Caenorhabditis elegans: one gene and its partners. The protein of the gene in region 1 interacts with the protein of each later gene in a biochemical or structural test. Each region holds a gene or a part of one and is shown on either strand. Other genes may lie near its edges. The genes, in order: goa-1, gpr-1, gbas-1 and rgs-2.

Region 1 (7,009 bases):
TTTGCATATGTTTTGTGACACATCGTTTCTTGCCGCAACGCTCGTTGGTTCCTGATTTCTGTTTTGTATGTCCTATAATTTATCGAAAAATAGAAGACTGGGAGTTCAAATAAAAATAATTATTTAAAAAATATTTGTTCCGCAGACAAATGACATTTTCAGTTTCAAATTTGCCAAATAATCTTTCTGTTTCTACGTTCTTCAATAACAGTTCTTATTGGAAACCCCGCCATATTTACTGGCTCAAACCACATTGGAACGATTTTATGAGAATTGTGAACACTTTCATGAATGAGCTTCCCATAAGGTTAAATTCCAAACTAATAGTAAAATATTTCAAGTTAAGGTTTTATTTCTGCGTAATCCACTATTTTTATCTTTTCTTGATTTTCCCTTTCATACTTTCACTCATTGTTTATTATTCGTGTCCCCTCGTCTCCGTTCTTCGACTGGAAAATCTGTAAGAGGGTCCAGCTGTGGTCTCCGGTGTACGGCACTCAACATGTCTCCTTGTGTATCGCTGCCAGTGCTGTCTATGCATTTATTATGAAAATAAAACAATTAGGCACATGGAAAAAGGCTTTATGTTCCTATAGCTTTTGGTTCACGGAGACCTAGTCTACGGCGCTGTTCGTCGATTGAAACTTAAATTTTAAATAGTAGTTTTCGGCATCATAAAGTCGCTATTAAGGCTGTCAGACAATTTAAGTTTTTATGCAATATTTTAAGATTTTAACTCAAACGCCGCCTGTGATCAGATAACTCCGACTACTAGAATATCTGCATGGTTCTGATCCTCATCATGATTTAAAATTCGAATCGACACGCAACGCAAGTAGCCGCCGACCCTCGTCTTCACTGTCGCTGCCCCCTGAACGATGGGGCTCTCCTGTTTCGGCTACTGGCTGCCCCTGGCTACTACTACCCCTTTTCTGCTATGCCCATGACCTTCTTCTTCTCCTCGCCCTCGCTTTTCTCTCTATTTTCCTTCTCCAACCCCACCATCCTGCTCGCCGTCGTCGTCGCAGTTGCTCCCCCATTTTTTTGCGCCACGCAAAAAAAAAAGAAAAAGAAGGACGACGACGACAACGAAGAAAGAGAAGAAGCAGAAGCAGTGAAAACGGAAAAATCGAAGACGTTGTCGTCTATTTTTTTGCTTCTGTTCTTTACAAATTATCTATTTTCTAACCTTTTTGTGGAGAACGTTGACCCGGCCGGAAGCATGTAGTAAAATTTCTTTTTGGTTGATTTTGCAAAACATGTTTATCCTCGATTAGCTGATTTTCATTTCGATTTCAGATTAAACCAATTGATTCTAAAATAGAAAACTGAATGAACAATCTCTGATCATTCTTGAAATATAACTAATTTAGTTCATCTGCAAGTTTAACAGTTAGTACATTTTTCTGTCGTAGATCAAGAAAAATTTCACCTTCGAATTTAGTACTCAAACATTGCAGGGATTCGAACATGCAAACGTTTTAACAATTTCCCCACTGACGCTGCTCCAAAGAAATCTGAGAGAACGTCTGATTTGAAAAAATGTTTGCGCAAAAATTAGAAAGGCCCTGTTTAGAGTATTGTAGGTTGCATATTTCTACCACTAAAATAAATTAATGAAAAAGTAAGAAAATTCAATAAAAATTAGTCGCCTTGACGACGTGCACCCTCTATTTTCCTCATTCGTCATTTTTGTCATCTCCTCTCATCTCATCTATATTCTGCCCTCGATCCCTCATCCATCCATTTCTTCATTCTCCATCTCACTGTGTCCCTTTTTTTCGCTCGATTGCTTTTTCTTTTCCTTATTTTTTAACCCGCTATAACTTACTTCGATTCTAATTTTTTCAATTTATTTTCAGCGCTGAGCTGCACCACATACAGTGAGTGAGTAGAGGATATCAAGTGGAGACCGCTACCGGGGCATAGGGTCCACCGTTCATCAACTCTAGCGCCATGGGTTGTACCATGTCACAGGAAGAGCGTGCCGCTCTTGAAAGATCACGAATGATTGAGAAAAATCTTAAAGAAGACGGCATGCAAGCGGCAAAAGATATCAAACTGCTGCTACTTGGTGCAGGAGAATCAGGAAAATCGACTATTGTAAAACAGATGAAGTGAGATTTTTTTAAATTTCTAAATAACAAATTAAAACATATATAAACGAAAATGGTAGAAATAAATGGTGAAAAACTCAGAATTTATCATCCGAAATTGTCCCATAGAACGTCCGAATATTTCGTTTGATCGATTTGAATTATTAAAAATTAAATTTAATTAAAAAGTAAATAAATCACTAGAGACTGCTATTAATTTTTTTTTCGTATTCAAAATTTGAAAAGTAAGTTCAACTCTCTAATAGTTTAAATTTGAAACACGCCTTTACAAATTTTCACATTTTAATGTTTTTTTTTCAGAATTATTCACGAATCGGGATTCACAGCAGAAGACTACAAACAGTACAAGCCGGTTGTCTACAGTAACACGGTTCAATCATTGGTCGCTATTTTGCGAGCCATGAGCAACTTAGGCGTTTCATTTGGTTCGGCTGACAGAGAGGTGAGTATTATGACAATTTTTCTGCAAAAAAATCGAAATTATTTAAAAATGAGGCACGAAATTTTCAAGTGATCCCTTAATGGAAAAAATTAATTTCGGTCCATTAGCTGCTAATGATTAGCACGACAAAAACGTTACTTCAAAATAAAACTTATTTTTCTGAAATTTACTTGCGATTGTGATCTATAGATAGAACATAAACATTATTCAATTAAAAATGTTTCCCGTGTTCTGAAGAGTAATTCGAAATATTTGGAAAATAACGAATAAAAAGATACGAAAAACGAAGAGCATGAGAATAAATGACATAATCTGTTGTATTCATTGGCTCGGTATCTTTTTCTCTCTCTCTCTCTTACATTCTGCAACTCTTATTGCCTCTCGTTGCACTCAATGCATCCCGCTACCACACCACCGTCCCATTCCAATTCCCTTGTGAGTTTCGATGCGCGACGCGCCACCGACAAACTCGTAGACTCGACCTAGTATTCCAAAAATATATGTTCGAGGCAGGAATTTTGAATTGGGATTTGGAAGGGATTCTAGAATGTTGGAAAATCTTTGGGAACACATTTTCGATTGATGTGGCAAATCATCAGAAAAAAATGTTCCCAACGTTTTGGAGAAGATTTTACATCATTCAGACGTCAAATGTTTTGTTATTGCGTCACAAATGCAATTCCCGGTTTTTATACGATGAATTTGTGTTCAATGCAAGAAGGTGTGCGCCTTTAAAGAGTACTGTAATGTTTAATTTTCGTTGCAGCCAAATTTTTAATCGATTTTTCATAGTTATTCAATAAAAACGTATTCATTTATTTTAAAAATTAATAAATAACAATCAAATATTTACGAATTAACTTTAACAAATCGTAAGAATAAATATAAACATATTTTAGCATTCAACAAAAATTTGTCGTGTCGAAAACGTAAAAAAGTTTTTGATGTGAAGATCGAACATTTATCATTCAATTTTATATATATCCTTAATCTTAACAAGACGTGACTATGCATGTCACCGAATATAAAGTAATTTGAGATAATTGAAATAAAATGACCATTTTGAGACCTTTGGACAAACCATTGGAAGAGAGCCAAGGATCCAATTTCAATTTTGTGAGAAAATTGGGAAAATGATGTACATGACATGCTGTGAATTATTCAATTTTCATCAGCGAATAAAGTTATCGAGAACTAAAATCAAAGTTTTTTGTTTCAGGTAGATGCAAAATTAGTGATGGATGTGGTGGCACGAATGGAGGACACAGAGCCATTCTCAGAAGAATTGCTCAGTTCAATGAAACGGTTGTGGGGAGACGCAGGTGTACAGGATTGTTTCTCAAGGAGTAACGAGTATCAATTGAATGATTCAGCCAAATAGTAAGTTTAATTCAAAATTTTGAAAAATTATTTCAAGTAACTATTATCTCCATAACAACCAAAGTGGTTTTTTTCATAAATTGAGAAGAGTTTCCTAAATTTCGAATCAATATGTTACATGTCAAGCTCATTTTCAATATTACCAAATTTAAAATTTCAAGAAATTTCGCAGTTTATAGAATTTATTAATAACCATTTTTTCAGTTTCCTTGACGACCTGGAAAGGTTAGGAGAGGCAATATATCAACCAACTGAGCAAGATATTCTCCGAACTCGTGTCAAAACAACTGGTATTGTTGAAGTTCACTTCACATTCAAAAATCTCAATTTCAAGTGAGTTTTCTTGATAAAAAAATAATATTTAATAATGAATATTTACAGATTGTTCGATGTGGGAGGTCAAAGATCAGAAAGGAAGAAGTGGATTCATTGTTTCGAAGATGTTACTGCTATTATTTTCTGTGTTGCCATGTCAGAGTATGATCAAGTGTTGCACGAAGATGAGACAACAGTGAGAAATTGATATTTTAATATTTTAGAAGCTTTTTTGTTGAAAAAGACAGACAAAATTTAAAATTAGAAAATATCGTTTAGAGACTTTATGTTTTTTAAACGATTTTCCAATCATGACTTGGTCGTTCGAGTCGACTTTTACAATAATAAAAATAATGTTCTTCTTCTAATTTTTCTAACGAAAATGCAACTTCTGACCGACAATATATTTGCCAAAATAAAAGAAACATGATAATTTAAAAATTACTCGTTTTTTTAAATTATATTCTATTATTCATTCTATTATTCATTATTCATTATTATTCATTATTGTTCCTTATTTCATATTTTCAGAACCGAATGCACGAATCGCTGAAGCTGTTCGATTCGATCTGTAATAACAAATGGTTCACAGATACATCGATTATTCTGTTCCTGAACAAGAAGGATCTGTTTGAAGAGAAAATCAAGAAAAGCCCGTTAACGATCTGCTTCCCAGAATATTCAGGTAAAATTTAATTGAATTTCCAATAAATGTTTTAATTTCTTAATCCCTGTAGGACGACAAGACTACCACGAGGCATCTGCGTATATTCAAGCACAATTTGAGGCTAAAAACAAATCAGCGAATAAGGTAAGAAAAAAAAGTCTAAAAATCAATGAAATCAGAGAAGCCTATGGGGTTCCTGTTCCACGAAAAGTATAAATTGTTTTTCTAGAATAATATTTTTTATAATTTTTAATATCTAGTTAATTTTGGAAATTTTTTGAAGTGTGAAACATTTATAAAATTTAATTTTTTTTAAGTAAACACGAATATTCAATTGTTTTGTTAATCTGTCACAGAAAATGATAACCAGAAAAATCTCTGAATCGTATTCAATTAAGTAATTACAACCAAAATTTGAGATTTTTACTATCTCGACATTTTCTCCGATATTGCGGTTACTGTAGTTTCATATTTGAATAGGTAGTTAAAGTTGAGTGTTGAGGTAATAATTTTAATTCATTATTTCATTTAATTTGTTTTCTTTTGAAATAATATTCTTATTTGCAGGAAATCTATTGCCACATGACATGTGCCACAGACACAACTAACATTCAATTTGTGTTTGACGCTGTCACCGATGTGATTATTGCCAATAATCTTCGTGGATGCGGCTTGTATTAAGCTGTCGTCTTCGCCGCCCTCTTCTACCATTCTGTGTGTATCTTTGCTTACTTTTCCCAAATTTTTAAAGATTCGTTATTTTTCTCATCCCCCGAGTATGCATCTATAATTTGAGAGCTTTACATGTACATTATGGTTGCAACTGTTTTTATTTTTTGGAAAAAGTTGCAATTTCAGATGTATATGGGCTTTTTTTTAACCTCTGATTCATTCATAATAGTCTCACCGCCCTTCTTTTTCTCAACTAGGATCCCTAATTTTTCTGTCACAAAAATAACACATAAAACTCACAATTATTTATTTTTTCCTTTTTTCTTATTTATTATATATTGTCATTATTCACGCCACATCCCCCGCCCTTCTCACTCCCGTGTAGCCTTATCGCTATTTGAAAACAAGAAAACTTTAAAAATCTAAATTCAGTTGGAATTCGTCCCGTTCCGCCACACACCCCCTAAAGGTCTCTTCACCCCGAATTATAAAGCTTTGCCCCTTTTTTCTTTCTTTTCTCCCATTTTTCAACACACCTAGTCACTGTTAACAGTTAAATAATGGCAGCTTTTGTCTATGTTTAAAGATTTTATTTTTAATTTTTGGTATTTTTCTATTTCTACTCTTCCCCTCTCATCCATTTTCCCTCCTTTTCCTAAAACCACACTTCCAAACTCATTTTTCTCGCTGTTTTCCTCTCCCTATTTTTTCTTTTACTTTTTCATTTTTCCATCTTTTTTCTTTAAAATCGTCTCGCTTTTTGTCGGTGAGCACGATGGTGTGCAGTAGACGATATTTTCCGCATTGGTTTATTGTCGACTGCACCCACTCATTGATATCTTATTTGATATAAACGACATCCTCAACTAGTTTTCGTACAAATTCAGTTTGGTGGATACAAAAGTACAGTGATTTAGTTTGCATGGGAAATTGCATATGGGACTACCGTACATATGTCTAGATAAAAAACCAATATTTTTAAAACTCGATAAAATTTAAATTTCCCTGAACTCCTTTTTGAATAACCACCAAGAAGTTTAAACCTCGCGCGCGAATTTAAAATTTAATTGTTATTTTGAATTATTAGCATGGTTTAAAACAATTTCCCCATCATTACCAAGATTTAAAAAAATCAAAACCTATTGTTATAACATCAAAAGTGGGAAACCCCAAAAATAGTCTTCAGATAATGATTTTCTCAAGATAAATGACCCGGAAGTGAGTGTTACTAAAGCGAAAAACCTTCCAAATGTCAAGTTTCATTAAATTTTACAACAATCATCTAAAAATGTGTCCTTTTTGTCACACAATTGTGTTCATTTTCCATCAGCTTTTCCCTCCTCCTCCCACTATGTGATAAACTTTCACTTTTTCTGTTCATTTGCCAAAAAAAAGAGAATATCTCATACACTTTCC
Region 2 (4,058 bases), on another chromosome or scaffold:
TATCACCAACAGTTTGAATATCCATTGCTTTCAGTTGAGCTTCGCATACACGACCAATTCCTCCAACCTAAAAAATTATCTAGGTAAAACTAGAAGGTTATGCTTTAATAGTCTCACCTTACGAATCGGTAAATCCTTCAAAAACTCCATAATCGCGTTTTTATCATTTTCTAACACATATTGACCATTTGGTTTGTTCAAATCAGAACAAATCTTAGCGAGCATAAAGTTAGATGCGATTCCAGCAGAACATGTTAATCCCGTGAGTTGTTCAACTCGAAATCGAATTTCTCGAACAGCCTCCTCTCGTCCAGTTCCGAACTCCACATGGTCGTAGTAGATTTTCCGCGATTTTTCGCATTTTGGACAGATCGATTCTTCGATTTTCAAGTCTTCCAAAGTATTTTCATTCTCGTCGAAACGGGGTAACCAACATGGACAATCTCCGCCGAATCTGTGACGCTTGAAGGTTTCTAGTAAGCAAATAGTTTTTTGTTAATAATCAAATCTAAATCACTAACTTTTTTCTGTATTACTTGCCACATAGTCTGTCAAATCTATAAATGCCTCATCCAATGACATCATTCCAACATCCGAATCGTATTCCATGAAAATTTGTGAAAATTGGCGACTGACTTTAGTGTATTTAGGGTAATTTCCTGGAACAATCGTTAGACTCGGACAAAGTTTATTTGAGATGAAGCCAGGCATTCCAGCACGGACTCCAAAACGGCGAGCCAAGTAGTTGGATGTGCTCTGAAAGAATAGATTTAAAGCTTTTCCGAAATCGAAAATTTACTTTTCAAATTGAGTTAGGTGCTTACCAGCATTGCCGATGAGCCTACGGCCATAGGAACTGTTCTCAGTGCAGGATTATCTCTCATTTCAACTGCGGCAAAATAAGCATCCATATCTATACAAACACAGTCTCTTGATAAATCTCTAGATGATTCCAGTTTCATCTCAAGATTCTCCATCTGAAAATTGGAAATTTGCTCTAAGTAAATTTATTAGCTTTTAAAATACATACCAGTATCTCAGATTTTTGTCTTTCTTCTCTGGTTGCTGTTTGCAAACGATTTTTGATTTCTAAAACTTTCTCTTCAATTCTTGATTGTTGTTTTTTGGAAAACGACGAGTAGGACGCTGATGTGTTTTCTTCGATGACTTTCGTGATTTTCTCCTTATCCAGTCCATTCATTCCAGCTTTATTATCGTTGAAAGTCAGCATTTTTCACGAAAAAGAGCCGGATTTTGAAATTCGCGGAGAAACTCCACTGATTGTGAGTGTGCAAATGCGCGTAATGGTGTACTTACGTACATCGGCAACACATTTGACGACATATCAGAAAGCGGCGCCAAATTAGAAGTTGAGTGCGCGAGAAAAAACTACGCGTTAACCGCCAATTTTCACTTCCCCACAGATCTGTCTCGAGATTCTCGAGTCATTTTTCAAGTTTATTTGTTTGTCAGCGGTTGTTTTATTGAAGATTTGTAAAATTTATAACAAAATGTGCAATAGTCTATTAAACCTCGTGAGATATTTGAAGAAACTTTCCCCGTTTTAAATATTTCGTGTATTCGTGGAGATCGCGGGAATGTTTTGCCTGTTTCCGTAAAATTCCTCTATTTCTTTTATTTTTGCTTGCAATTTTCGATTCATTTCAGAAGTTTCCACATTCGCAAAACGAATGGACGTCTCTTATTACGATGGTCCCAAGGATGAAGTCGCCGAAGCAATGCTGAAAAGCGCGGTGACGGCCATGAGATTGGGACAATACGAGGATGGAAAAGGACGCTTAGAGGAGATAATGGAGTTCGGAACCTCAAATTTTCAACTACTTGGTACAATCTACATGTATTACGGAAGAGTGTGCAGGCATTTGAACCATGATGCCAAGGCCTTGGAGTTTTTCGAACATGAGTTGAACATGTTCAAGTAAGTGAATCACAAAAATGAGCTGGACATTCTATAACCTTAATTTTTCAGATTGATCTTCAACTACCCAGAAGCATGTGATTCCACACGTCGCATCGTCGAGCAGGCACTCAAAATGGGAAAGTTCCCCAAGGCTCGACGGTTTGCTGAGGATCTCATTGATTACACCAGCAATAAGAAGAACGGAGAGAAGTATATCGGTCAAGCTCGAATTTTGTTCGCTTCCGTGTGCCTCGAAGGATGTGAAAGAGACGTCGAGAGTAATCAAGATGAGAAGAAGAAGCTTTTGTCAATATGTGCTGAACAGATTGCAGCCGTGAAATTGTTCAACGAGAATAATACGGAAGGAGCTGTGTCTGAGACCAAAATCATGTTACTTGAGGCGAAATGCTTGTCACTAGACGAAAAATACGAGGAATCGCGTCGCAAGTATCAAGAATGCATCGATTTTGCCATCAAAACAGACCAGTTTGAAGCAGTTCACATCGCCTATTACGACAAGGCTCTATATGCTGAGACAGATCTTCTTTTCTTTATTATCAGAGATCTCAGGTAATTTTTAGTTTTAACGATTAATAAAAATATCAATTCTTTATTCACAGAAGTGCTCTCTTCTACGCCACGAAATTCGGAAAAGAGCGAGATGTAGTCAAATATAAGTCGAAGCTATCCGAAGAGATGCTGAGAAATGGCGAATTCCACGAAGCATATCTCTACGGATTGGAAGCGCTTGTATCGATTCGGAAGCTTGGATTGAACGAATACATTGGAGATGTGTTGCTTACAATCGCAAAGTGCCTCATTGCACTTGGAAAAAGACGCCAAGCTGCTTATTTTATCATCTTGGGGAGTGTTCTGACCATCAACCAAAACAGTTTCAAACTGTTCTACGAGCAGATCGACGTGGCGATGAATCAAGAGAGAAGCGAAACGGCAACTGATCAAGATGTATGCCTCGCAATTGATTCGTCTCCTGATCCGACATCCTCGAATGACATGATTAATAAGTTCGTCGTCGAACTGGAGCACGCAACAAATGTGGAAACCTGGGAAATGATTGTCAACGGAATCATTGACGACCAGAAGAAACCAGTGGCGATCGAAAAGAAAGAGAACGAGGAACCCGTAGACATGATGGATCTCATTTTCAGTATGAGCTCACGTATGGATGATCAAAGAACTGAACTGCCTGCTGCCAGATTCATTCCGCGTAAGAAATGTTATAAATAAGCGTATAAGTATGCAAATTTATATTTTTCCAGCTCGTCCAGTGTCATCGGCATCGAAAAAGACTACAAAGAGTCACAGAATCCTCCCTGGACTCCGTGCCAATTGGACAAAAGTGCAGTCGATGAAGTTCGATGGTCACACAATGAATAGGATCCTGAAGAGGTCGAAGAAAAGCAAATCGTCATTGGATTCTACAAATTCGATGCAGGGCGATGATACTCGAAGCGATGATGTGACAATGACGTCCAAATAGGACCATTATTTTTTCTGTCAAATAATACAATCAAACTTTCTTTATTTATTTTTTTTTTACTTTCTTTCAGTAAATATTATTATCATTTTAGTGGTTCTTTTATTTTATTTGCTGGTCAGAAAAGCTGATTTTTTCAATTAGCGAAAATCCATCAAGTCATATTTCTATAGACTCTTTACTACATACGTTGATGACTTTCGTGATTTTCTCCTTATCCGGTTCATCCATTCCAGCTTTATTATTGTTGAAAGTAAATAAGCATTGTTTCCCGAAAAAGAGCCGGATTTTGAAATTCGCGGAGAAAAAGTTGAAAATTGAAAAATCCAAACGATGCTCCGATGTTCCGTCCGAAATGTGTGTTTTACCGTGACGGTGTTTGCAGACAGCTTGAAAAAACATTTATTTTTTTATTTTAATTTTATTAATTTATTATTTATTTTAGAATGTTCTATATTTTAAAATGTGAATTTGTTTCAGGGTACTCGGAATGTTTGTCTTAAACCGTTCAAGCGGGCTCATTCATCGATCTGTACCTTTATTAGCTCAAGTATCCACGCCTACGACTTCCACAACAAAATTAGGTTAATAATTCTCCATTTGGTGATAAACCAATTCTTTTCTGCTTTTTTAAAACAT
Region 3 (5,023 bases), on another chromosome or scaffold:
ATGAAAAAAAAATTTGATAACTAATCTAGAACTTAAATTTCAAAATTTTCAATGCTTTTTTTCCGAACTCTTCACAAAATTTCAGTCTGAACCTCGAAAACTAGAAACTTCTAGCTCAATTTTGAAATTCCGAGGGGTACGGTAGCGCCAGAAGTACGCAAACACCGACTACAGTACCCCCAAAACACTGAAGTTTACGCGATTTTCGAAATTTGAGCTGAAAATTTGCAGAGTGATTAAAAAAATGGCGGAGAATTCGAATTTGAAAATTGAAATATCTGAAATTTTTGTTTTGGACTTTTTAAAAATTAAATTTTCGATTGAAATTAATTAAAATTAAATTTTTGTGGTTATTAAAAAAAAACATTATAAATTTTTAAAACCAAATGTATGTACTCTTGAAAGTGAAAAAACAACAGAGATTTTTTGAGATTTGTGCCAGACAAAGTCGTATACAACCCAATTTCCCCTGACCTTCAATTGATGAAAAAACTTTAAACACAATTTTTTTAAAAACATTTATTAATAATTATATTGTACCCTGCTTGCCATTTAACTGTTAACAAAAGATTTTTCTTTCTTCTGGATTTTTATTTCTTCTGGCAAAACCAGTATTTGATATTAACGAATTGCCTGAAAAAATAATTGAAAAGTAATAGGGACTAAGTGGGTGAAAACTTACACAAATATTGTCCCCTCTTGGATGGTTAGGGACTAGGTCAGTAATAAATTTTCTCACACTTGTATTATAATATCGTTTATTGAGCAGAAAAAATATTGAGGAAAACTGAAAAAAAATCATTTAAAACATCAATACCGATTGAAATAAGTAGCAAAAAACTTACATTTACTCGATTTTTGTCTTAAAAAAATATTTAAAAAGCTAAATACTATTTAAAAAATCAATAAAATTGGGGAAGAATACGGGGGACAACCATTCAGTAGGCTGTCTTGGAGGCAGAATGAAGGGAAATTCGGAAAAAGAAAGAGCATTGAGAGATGAGAGACTTGGGCTGTGAGACACTAGAGGGAATAGATAGTGGACGGGAGGGTGGAAAATTGATACTTTCTGTAATGATAACAAAACGCAAGATTTTTTTTGTTATCTATATATTCTAGATTATATTATAAAATACTTTAAAAGTCCAGTTTAGCACAAATTATCGAAAAAAAGATAGTCAGAGCATAATAATTTTAATAATTTATAGAAATGCACATTTTTCATGATTTCAAAAATTTTTCTCCACATTTTAATAAAAAAATTTGAATTCCTCGCCATTTTCTTAGTCTATTCCTAAATTTTCCGAAGAAAATTCGAAAACCGCGTGAAATCCGGTGTTTCTGGGGATACTGTAGTCTGTAGTTGCACACTTTCGGAGCTACCGTAACCCGAGAAATTTCAAAACTGAGCTAGAAATCTCTAGTTTTAGATTTTCCGACTGAAATTTTGCAAGGAATTCGAATTTTCCTATGCAAATTGTTTTTTAGCTCCGATTTCCTTCATTTTTAATAATTTTCCAAAGCTCAATTTTGACTGAAAAAATGAACATTTTCGTGAAACTGAAGAAAACCTGAATATTTTCGATAGAATTAAAATTTATTTGATTTTCGGACATTCTTCAATGGAAATTTCTCAAGAAATTATAAAATTCCAGTTAAAACGGGAAAGAATTATTATTTTAATTTAAATAATAAATTCTCCCGCACTCTCTCTGCGTCTCACGCTCTCTAACGCGTGCCAATGGAGCGCGCTTTCAATTTTCTATTTTTAGCATTTTATTTTTTTCAAATTTAAAAACTAATTTTCGACTCGAATCCTCGAAATTCTTCGTTTAAAACCAAATTTTCTGAAAAAATCGAATTTTTCGCTTTAATCTAACCTAAAATTCACTGAAAAAGCGCAAAAATTAAAGTTTTTCTGACATTTTCTCCATTTTTCCGTTAATTTTTGCATTTCCATCAATTTTCCTTACTTTAAAATGTAATTTTCAGCAAAATGAGGTCGGTACGAAGCTCCTCACGAACTCCGAAGCCAGTGAAACGCTTCGTTTTTGATGAAGACGAGGATCTCGAAGAAATCGATCTGGATGAGGTGGATAACGCCGATTTTGAGCGGGAAGATGATGGTAAAGCATTGGAAAAACTCGAAAAATGAAACTAAAATTGTGGAAAAGAATTAAAAAATCGAAAAATTCAGCAAATTTAAGTTGAAAACGACAAAAATAGATTTTTCTTCAAAAAAATTGAAAAAAATTGGGGAAAATCGGAGTAAATTGAATATTCTATTGTCAGAAATCGAAACTAATTGTAAATTTGATTTTTTCAGATAAAAATCTTGCAATTTATGCATCAAATCAAATTTTTAAAAAAATCTCAAAAAAAATCCAGGATTTTTTCGAAAATTCCTTCAAAATGAAGGATTTTTTTTTGGAAAATTCGTTTTTTTGTTGGAAATTTGAATTATACTTAGTATTTTCATCAGTTTTTCCAAAAAAAAACACTATTCTATACGTGTAGGACTTTAAAAACTCATTTTTTAATCCAAAAATTCTGAAATTTCTGTGACTTGTGTGCTTCTATCCTAATTGATGGTTTGAATAGTTGGTATTCTCGGCTGAAACATGCAATAAATACCGTATTCCAGCCAACAATTTGTGCAATAGAGCACATTTGTCACCGGGGATGCTGAAGCTATGCCCAAATTTTCATTTTTCACTCAAAAACTTGTGAAATTTTTTAATTTTCTTTTTTCAGAAGAAGAAGTGCTCTCGGAGCCATCGGAGAGCCCATACACCTCAACGCCTAAATCCTCGAAAAGAGTGAATAAAACCCGTGGAACTAAGGATTTCTTTAAAAAAGACGAAAGTTTGCAACTTTTTCGATTTGTGCTCAACGAATGTCGGAGCCAGAAGCCTGGAAGAGTCGGAAGAGTTGCTAAAAAACGAGTGGGCGTAAATTCAATGAAATATTGGGAACGATATAAACGAGAGATTCAAGGATATCGACTACCGAAACAATATCGCTATCAGTAGGGTTTTGTGAACCGTTTAAAATCAAAAATCAAACATTTTAATGAAAAAATTCGAATTCCCTGCAAAATTTGTCGGAAAATCGAAAACTAGAAGTTTCTAGCTCAATTTTGGAATTTCGAGGAGTACGGTAGCCCCGGAAGTACGCAAACACCGACTACAGTACCCTAAATCACCCGATTTTACGGGATTTCCGAATTTTGAGCTGAAAATTCAGGATTAGACTAAGAAAATGGCGAGGATTTCGAATTTCATAATAAAAATGCGGAGAAAACAATTTGCACCTGAAAATTTTAGAAAAAATGCGAAAAAATACAAAAATGTTGTGGAATTTTTTAAAAAACCCGGATTTCTTTTCGATTTTCAGTTTTATACCAAAAAAATCTGAATTTTAGCTTTATTTTGAAAAATTGTGCAGCTTTTCAGTCAAAGACCGCGACGCGACCGCAACGCGAACGATTCCGACTATTTTTGCATTTTTGGTATCAAATTCGAACTCACTATGAAATTTTAGGCTGAAACGCGAAAACTAGAAGTTTCTAGCTCAATTTTGAAATTTCGAGGGTCACGGTAGCGCCAAAAGTACGCAAACACCGACTACAGTACCCCAAAACACCCGATTTTACGCGATTTTCGAATTTCGAGCTGAAAATTCACGGATATACTAAGAAAATGGCGGGGAATTCGAGTTTGACAATGAAAACTACGAGAAAATTTTTTGAACATTTGAAAATCAACAATTTTCTGAAATTCTTGGACTGAAACTCGGAAATGAGCAGTTTCAGTGATAAATTCAAATTCCCTGCAAACTGTTGGCCTAAACGCCGAAAACTAGGCATTTCTAGCTCAATTTTGAAATTGCCCGGGTTACGGTAGCGCCAAAAGTACGCAAACACCGACTACAGTACCCCAAAAACTGAATTTTACGCAATTTTCGAATTTTAAGCTGACATTTTAGGATTAGACTAAGAAAATGACGGAGAATTTGAATTTAATATTCAAATTTTGTAGAAAAAATTTTGAACCCCTGAAAAATTGGCGGTTTTCTGAGAATTGGTTTTTTTTTCGCAAAAAAAAAGATTTTCGCTTTTTACCGAATTTTCTCAGTTTTCTGTGCATTTTTCTAGCAAAAACTCAAGTTTAAGCCGGAATTTTCCATATTTCCGACCATTTTTCGGAGAAAATTTCAAATTTTAGTTCTAAAAATTTAGATTTCAGCCAAATTTTCAGCAAATTTCCCCAATTTTTTTCAGCTACAGCTTCTACTCGAAATGCTTCTACAAAGTGCTCGGATTGACGCCAGAAGAAAAAGTTGATCTATATTACGCGTGTGAAATGCCAGTCGTAACCGATGCTGAAAAGCAGTGGCTCGTCGAGCAATTCCACGTGGAATTTGACGAATTTGGAGTAATTATTGGCAGTGATGTGTGCACCCATTGGGATGAGGAACACTCGGATTCTGAAGATGATTCGGGTAAAAATTCCGCTGAAAATTCCATGAAAACCCCCCGATTTTTTGTCTGAAAATCGGTCTGAAGTCAAATTTTCTCGATTTTCATTATCAAATTCAAATTCCCTGCGAAATTCCAGCTTGAAAATCGAAAACTAGAGGTTTCTAGCTCAATTTTGATATTTTTAGGGGTACGGTAGCGCCAGAAGTACGCAAACACCGACTACAGTAACCCAGAAACACCGGATTTCACGCGATTTTCGAATTTTGAGCTGTAAATTCAGGGATAGACTAATAAAATAGTGGGGAATTCGAATTTCATATTTAAATTCCGCAGAAAAAAATTTGAAAATCTGAAAAACCGTATTTTTCTGAAATTCCTAGACTGAAACTCGGAAATTGGCAGTTTCAGTGACAAATTCGAGTTCCCCTCAAAATTTGACACTCAACACAAAAAACTAGAGCTCGCTAGCTCAATTTTGACACTTTGAGGGGTACGGTAGCGCCAAAAATACGCAAACACCGACTACAGTACTCCCGAAAC
Region 4 (4,843 bases), on another chromosome or scaffold:
AAAAAGGTATAAATCCCTTTCGCACTACCAAATGAACGTATTTTCAAAGATCCTATAACAAATGTTCGCTAACCCTCGTTCCAGGCACTGTTTTTCTTACATTGATCGCTTAGAAGTTTTTCAATTCAATTAAACATACCATTCTCATATCCAATTTCATCGAGGGATCAGTGATCAAATCTTTTTTGATCCACTATTATTGTTTAGCATTGTTCATTCAAATGTCAATATTGCCCTCGTATTTTTTTTTCATGTCGTTGCAAAATCCAGTACATATTAATTGCGTAGGTGATTTGAGAATAAAAGTTCATTTTTTTGCGGAGCATTTGAGATGGTTCGAAAAACAACTGATTCTGTGGAAAATGTTCAGTGAAGTAATTTTTAACATCAGAAAGATTCATTAGCTGTTTGAAAATAAGAATGATTAGTACGTGAGAGTACTGTAGGGTTACTGTAAACACTAGGAACACTAGGTGTTCTGTACTCAAATTTCCACCAATTTTTTTTATTGACATTATTAAATTGTTCAACGTATTCAAATTGAAAACTTAACAGTTCCAGCCCTAAATTCGTTTCAATTGGATGATTTCCTATACATTAGTGCCAAAAACCACAACCCATTAGACTGCATCCGTGAAATGTGGTGTGCTAGCTCAATTTATAAATTGAATGCAAGTATTTTGGTCTTCAGTGAAATGCTAATTTGGAAAGTATGTTTTTCATTTTAACATTTGCTTTTAGGTGTTTAAGTGAACATTGAAAAAACGTATAAACTAACAAAAAACTGACTTTCTCAGTTTTTTTTTTGCTTTTTTTTCTTCTCTTGTGTGGAAAGCCAACAAACCAATTGGTTTTGTTTCAAGTGCCCAAACATGTTGTGTTTTTTTAAACTTTGTAGCTGTGGTCAAACTTGACAAAAGGGCTAACATGTTTTCTCATAAAAATAATAAATTAATTAAAACAATTAAAATCTTGTTTTTATGCTAATTTTTTTGATTTGGAAGTAATGTGGAATCTAGTAGTAGGAAAATCCTATAATTTCGAATAACTTTGTCTTAAATTTCCGCAGTAAAAGTTTAATATTTATGTTTACATATTTCTGGAATGGGAAATCAGAACAACATATTTTATGCAACAATAATCATATTCCATCCCACACACTTTCATTCGCAATCGCCTTAAACGGTTTCACACATGACAAAATGTTTTTGGAAACTATTCTGGTTTTTTTGTATATTTGCTTTGAAAAAAAAGTGAAAATTTTCAGTTTCTTCCTGAAATGTAGAGATTTGTAAAATGTTGCTAATTTTTTTGTTAATAATTAAGGAATTTTAATTTTACAAAAGTAATGTGCTAAAGCAGGGGTGATCCATTTTTAAATTGAAACATTACAGTTGTTTAATCTAAGCAAATTAAAAAAATATATACTAAATCCAAATTGTGTTTTTATAATAGTTTTAACTTTCAACACTTGAAAATCTGAAAAAGTTGTTCTTTTGCCAAATGTCAAACGGATCGCATGACACGAGACCTCCAGAGCGTCAGTGGCCCCAGTATCTTTTGAATTTTCACTCATCATCCATATATTCATTAAATATAGTGAGAGAATGAAGGGAAAAGGGAAAGAAAAAAGAAAGAAGTGGTTCTAGTATTATGTATGCGTGTGTCCGCGAGGCATCGATATATTCCGCCACAGCCACAAGTGTCCCATCCTCTTCTTCTCATCAAGGTTTTTTCTTCAATGAGGTTCTATTCATTTTCTAAACTTTTTCCTTTTTGAACTTTTTTCTTCCTTTAAATTCATGTTTTGTTTGAAGTTTATTTTACCGGATAAACTTTCAGAGGCAAACATGTCATGTGCAATAAGTTGTTTTGGAAAAATCATCGTTTGTGTCACTCACAATTCTTCACCAAGCGGTAAACCGTATGTCAGGTTAGTTGAGTTTTGCGTTGAATTTAATTGTTTGAGTAGGTCATAACCAAATTTTCGTTAATTTGACACTTGTATAAGCTTGTTTTTTTAAGACAACAAGATTTATATAGCATTTTCTATGTTAATTCTGTGTCAGAGAATGTTAATTAAGCAGTAATTAGCCCCAAAGAGAAAAACTTAGGTGATAAATTAAAACCTTTAGAAACACACTTCAGAATCAAAAGTTCAAATTAATTTCATTCTTTTTATGGTCCCTCAATTTCGTTCCGCAACGTGAACTTTGCGAAATATTATAAAAAACTATGTCTCCCCTTTATGTTTGCTCCGACCTCTTTTTTTTTCTTTTTATTCCGTCTCCAATCATGCAGTTCTCATTAAATCTGATTCACTGCAAGAAAAAAGTGCGTATGCTCAGGCGTGCTCAGTAGCTCACTTGCCTTCCTCACATGAGGAAATAATGAAGAGTAGCAGTAGAAGAAGCGGATGGAAATTGAAATGAGAATGAGAGGACAGGAGACGGAAAAGAAAATGTATTCGATTAACCAAATGTTACGTGACAAGGACAAATATTCCATTATTTCTCTAGTCAACAGCCAAAAAATTAACGACAGTTGTAATGCAACACTTCAAAAAATTAACAACAAAAGGTTAAAAATTAAAAACTTTGAAAAAACCGCATAACATTGTGATTATTGTAATATTAACTAATGCCGTGTATACTTCAAATTGTATTTTTCAAAAATGAAAAGAAAGCAAATGAGTGGCAAGTTCAGCTTGCCCAAATACTCTTTATTAGTGCTGCACTTTATTGCTAAACTTTGCTGCTCATATTATGGTTCTCTTCTTTTTTATAATACAACAAAAACAGAATAAATAATGCTCAATTATTTTTCTATAGTTGCCTAATTAACTGCTTAATGATATCTTCAAAATGGACCGAAGTATATCTTTCCAAAATGGAGCAATGGAGCGCAGCACTGATCGAGACCATAGGGTAGTAATTTGGAAATTCAAAAAGTTGCGAATATATACAATTATACCATGTTTGTTATCAATCAAAGGAGAGCTTCGTAATTCACTGCCCATTCCCGACGCTGTTGCCTTCTGATAGTCATTTATTTCAAGTTAGGCGCAGCAGCATGCTGCGCCAAAATACACATTCATAAGTAATTATAGGATAGGTGGTTGCTAGAGAAATCTAAATTAGAGGTTTGTCATACTCCCCGTATGGCTGCGTCAAGGATTCCAAAATTTATAACTGAAACAACAGTGATACAGAAGGCTTTGCAAAATCTTCTCTGATAGTTAGACAATTTCGATATGAGGATTCAAATTCATACAACAATCATCTACATAGATAAATAAATAAAATGAATCTAAGCCAAGTTGCCCTGACAAAGTCTTCTGAAACAGGTGTCATATCCTAGACAGTCATCCTTGCATACGTCAATGGTAACTGAGTTCTATTCTGCGTTTTATCTTTCTCATTTTCATTGTTGACTACATTTGCAAGTAAGAAAGCGCTGGCTCTCCAACTTCTCCACCCAGTCATTAGAAGAGAAGCGATCATGTAGATTTGATGACATGACCAACATTCTTGCTGTAATTGCAGCTTCGGAAGAAGAAAAAAAAACTTCGAACTTGAAAATCTTGTTTCTTCTATTTCTCGTCTCTGTTTTCTTTCCGAAGTTCTTACTCAAAACTCTATTCCACGGTTCTACGTAAACTTCTGAAGAATACAAAAATGAGTGGTCCGAACCACGCAGTGGTTTTTGACAGCATTGGAGGAGAAAATCAAGCGGTTCATCAACCGACGTCTATCAGCCGTTGGAGCAAGTTTTTCAGTGTGGTCAAAGGGTTGGGATGCATTCGATGGACAAGACACAGGTATTTTCTCTGAATCCTCTTATAATTGTTTCTGCTTTGTGCGCATGAGTTTTCTTTTAATATTCTATCAAATCAAAGGGCCGTTTACACTAAATTTGGGAAAGTTGATGGTATCTTTCTCTCTCTTTCTCTCTCTCTCTCAAAATAATTTTTTGCTTAATCTACTAAGCAATTATCAAAATGCGGCTTGCACTTCTCCGATTGACTATTTTTTGCTAGAGATTTCGTTTAAATAGTCTTTACCTTTAAACATTTTCACTTCATTTTACAACTATTTCTTCCAATTTTTTTTCTTATTTTGCTGAGCTAAGATCACTGGTCAAATCACTAGAATCACTAGAATCAACAAAAAAAACATCATCAAGAGCTCTCCAAGATCTTCTTTGAAAACGACAAACAACGATTGCAAACAGTGAAATTTGCACCTGAAATAGTACTACGTCAGCAGCTTAAGTGTGAGCGGAAAATATCTCGAATCCAAAGGACTCCAATATTAAGGTGGCAGGTGTATCTGGTCAATATTGAATACATTTACTTGAAAACTTGCTCGGCATCAGTTCATTAAACTTGCGATTTTCGGCTTTATTGGATCTTACTTTGTCGAGGTTCTACTTATTCTCACAACTTGCTGCGAATGCGTTCTTCAGGTTCTTGTATCATGGCTTTAATCGATTCTCTGATTGATTTATGGTAAAGTTAAATGTTTGAAACTTCTCGACAAGCACACACGTGATAAGTTGGTGAAAACAATAAACAGCGATTTATGTTGCTACGCAAATTCCTTTAAACTAACAATTATGTTTAATTTCAATTATTCTATGTTTCTAAATTTAAATAAAAATTGAAGTGGCGTACCGCTTGTACATATATCATATTAAATTTTTGAAAATAAAATTGAAATTTGTATTTACTTTCAAGTAAAAAAAAAACTTGAAAAAGTTTGCGCAACTTTTTGGGGAAAAAAGGTAAAAACCATGTTTCCCCCGTTTTTTGATTCGTAAATAAAAAGTTCAAATTTCCGTT

The links.
Region 2: of the proteins of goa-1 (region 1) and gpr-1, one has a biochemical effect on the other in vitro, tested with the Caenorhabditis elegans proteins (2 studies listed by BioGRID).
Region 3: of the proteins of goa-1 (region 1) and gbas-1, one has a biochemical effect on the other in vitro, tested with the Caenorhabditis elegans proteins (one study listed by BioGRID).
Region 4: of the proteins of goa-1 (region 1) and rgs-2, one has a biochemical effect on the other in vitro, tested with the Caenorhabditis elegans proteins (one study listed by BioGRID).

What each region holds. Positions count from the first base shown.
Region 1 is NC_003279.8:7,520,254-7,527,262, forward strand, and holds goa-1 (Guanine nucleotide-binding protein G(o) subunit alpha), read left to right. Parts: upstream 1-1,862; 5' UTR 1,863-1,956; coding exon 1,957-2,117; intron 2,118-2,417; coding exon 2,418-2,559; intron 2,560-3,778; coding exon 3,779-3,939; intron 3,940-4,143; coding exon 4,144-4,272; intron 4,273-4,320; coding exon 4,321-4,450; intron 4,451-4,785; coding exon 4,786-4,939; intron 4,940-4,991; coding exon 4,992-5,065; intron 5,066-5,488; coding exon 5,489-5,602; 3' UTR 5,603-6,459; downstream 6,460-7,009. UniProt on the Caenorhabditis elegans protein: Guanine nucleotide-binding proteins (G proteins) are involved as modulators or transducers in various transmembrane signaling systems. In the 1-cell embryo, probably together with gpa-16, controls nuclear rotation and spindle elongation during mitosis.
Region 2 is NC_003281.10:8,627,266-8,631,323, forward strand, and holds gpr-1 (G-protein regulator 1), read left to right. Parts: upstream 1-1,660; 5' UTR 1,661-1,691; coding exon 1,692-1,939; intron 1,940-1,990; coding exon 1,991-2,491; intron 2,492-2,541; coding exon 2,542-3,149; intron 3,150-3,201; coding exon 3,202-3,422; 3' UTR 3,423-3,511; downstream 3,512-4,058. Other genes in the region: polk-1 (DNA polymerase kappa), read right to left, coding at 1-67, 118-473, 522-756, 825-977, 1,031-1,231; DnaJ homolog dnj-10, read left to right, coding at 3,910-4,003. UniProt on the Caenorhabditis elegans protein: In the 1-cell embryo, probably together with gpr-2, controls nuclear rotation and spindle elongation during mitosis. Complex of gpr-1 and gpr-2, in association with lin-5, activates G-protein signaling to affect mitotic spindle force.
Region 3 is NC_003280.10:2,502,886-2,507,908, forward strand, and holds the start of gbas-1 (G-protein alpha subunit activating protein gbas-1), read left to right. Parts: upstream 1-1,992; 5' UTR 1,993-1,996; coding exon 1,997-2,126; intron 2,127-2,754; coding exon 2,755-3,028; intron 3,029-4,282; coding exon 4,283-4,503; intron 4,504-5,023. UniProt on the Caenorhabditis elegans protein: Acts as a non-receptor guanine nucleotide exchange factor which binds to and activates G-protein alpha subunit goa-1.
Region 4 is NC_003284.9:12,710,811-12,715,653, forward strand, and holds the start of rgs-2 (RGS domain-containing protein), read left to right. Parts: upstream 1-1,842; 5' UTR 1,843-1,850; coding exon 1,851-1,933; intron 1,934-4,843. UniProt on the Caenorhabditis elegans protein: Weakly inhibits G protein signaling in nervous system, interacting preferentially with the G(O) subfamily member goa-1. In vitro, it acts as a GTPase activator of goa-1.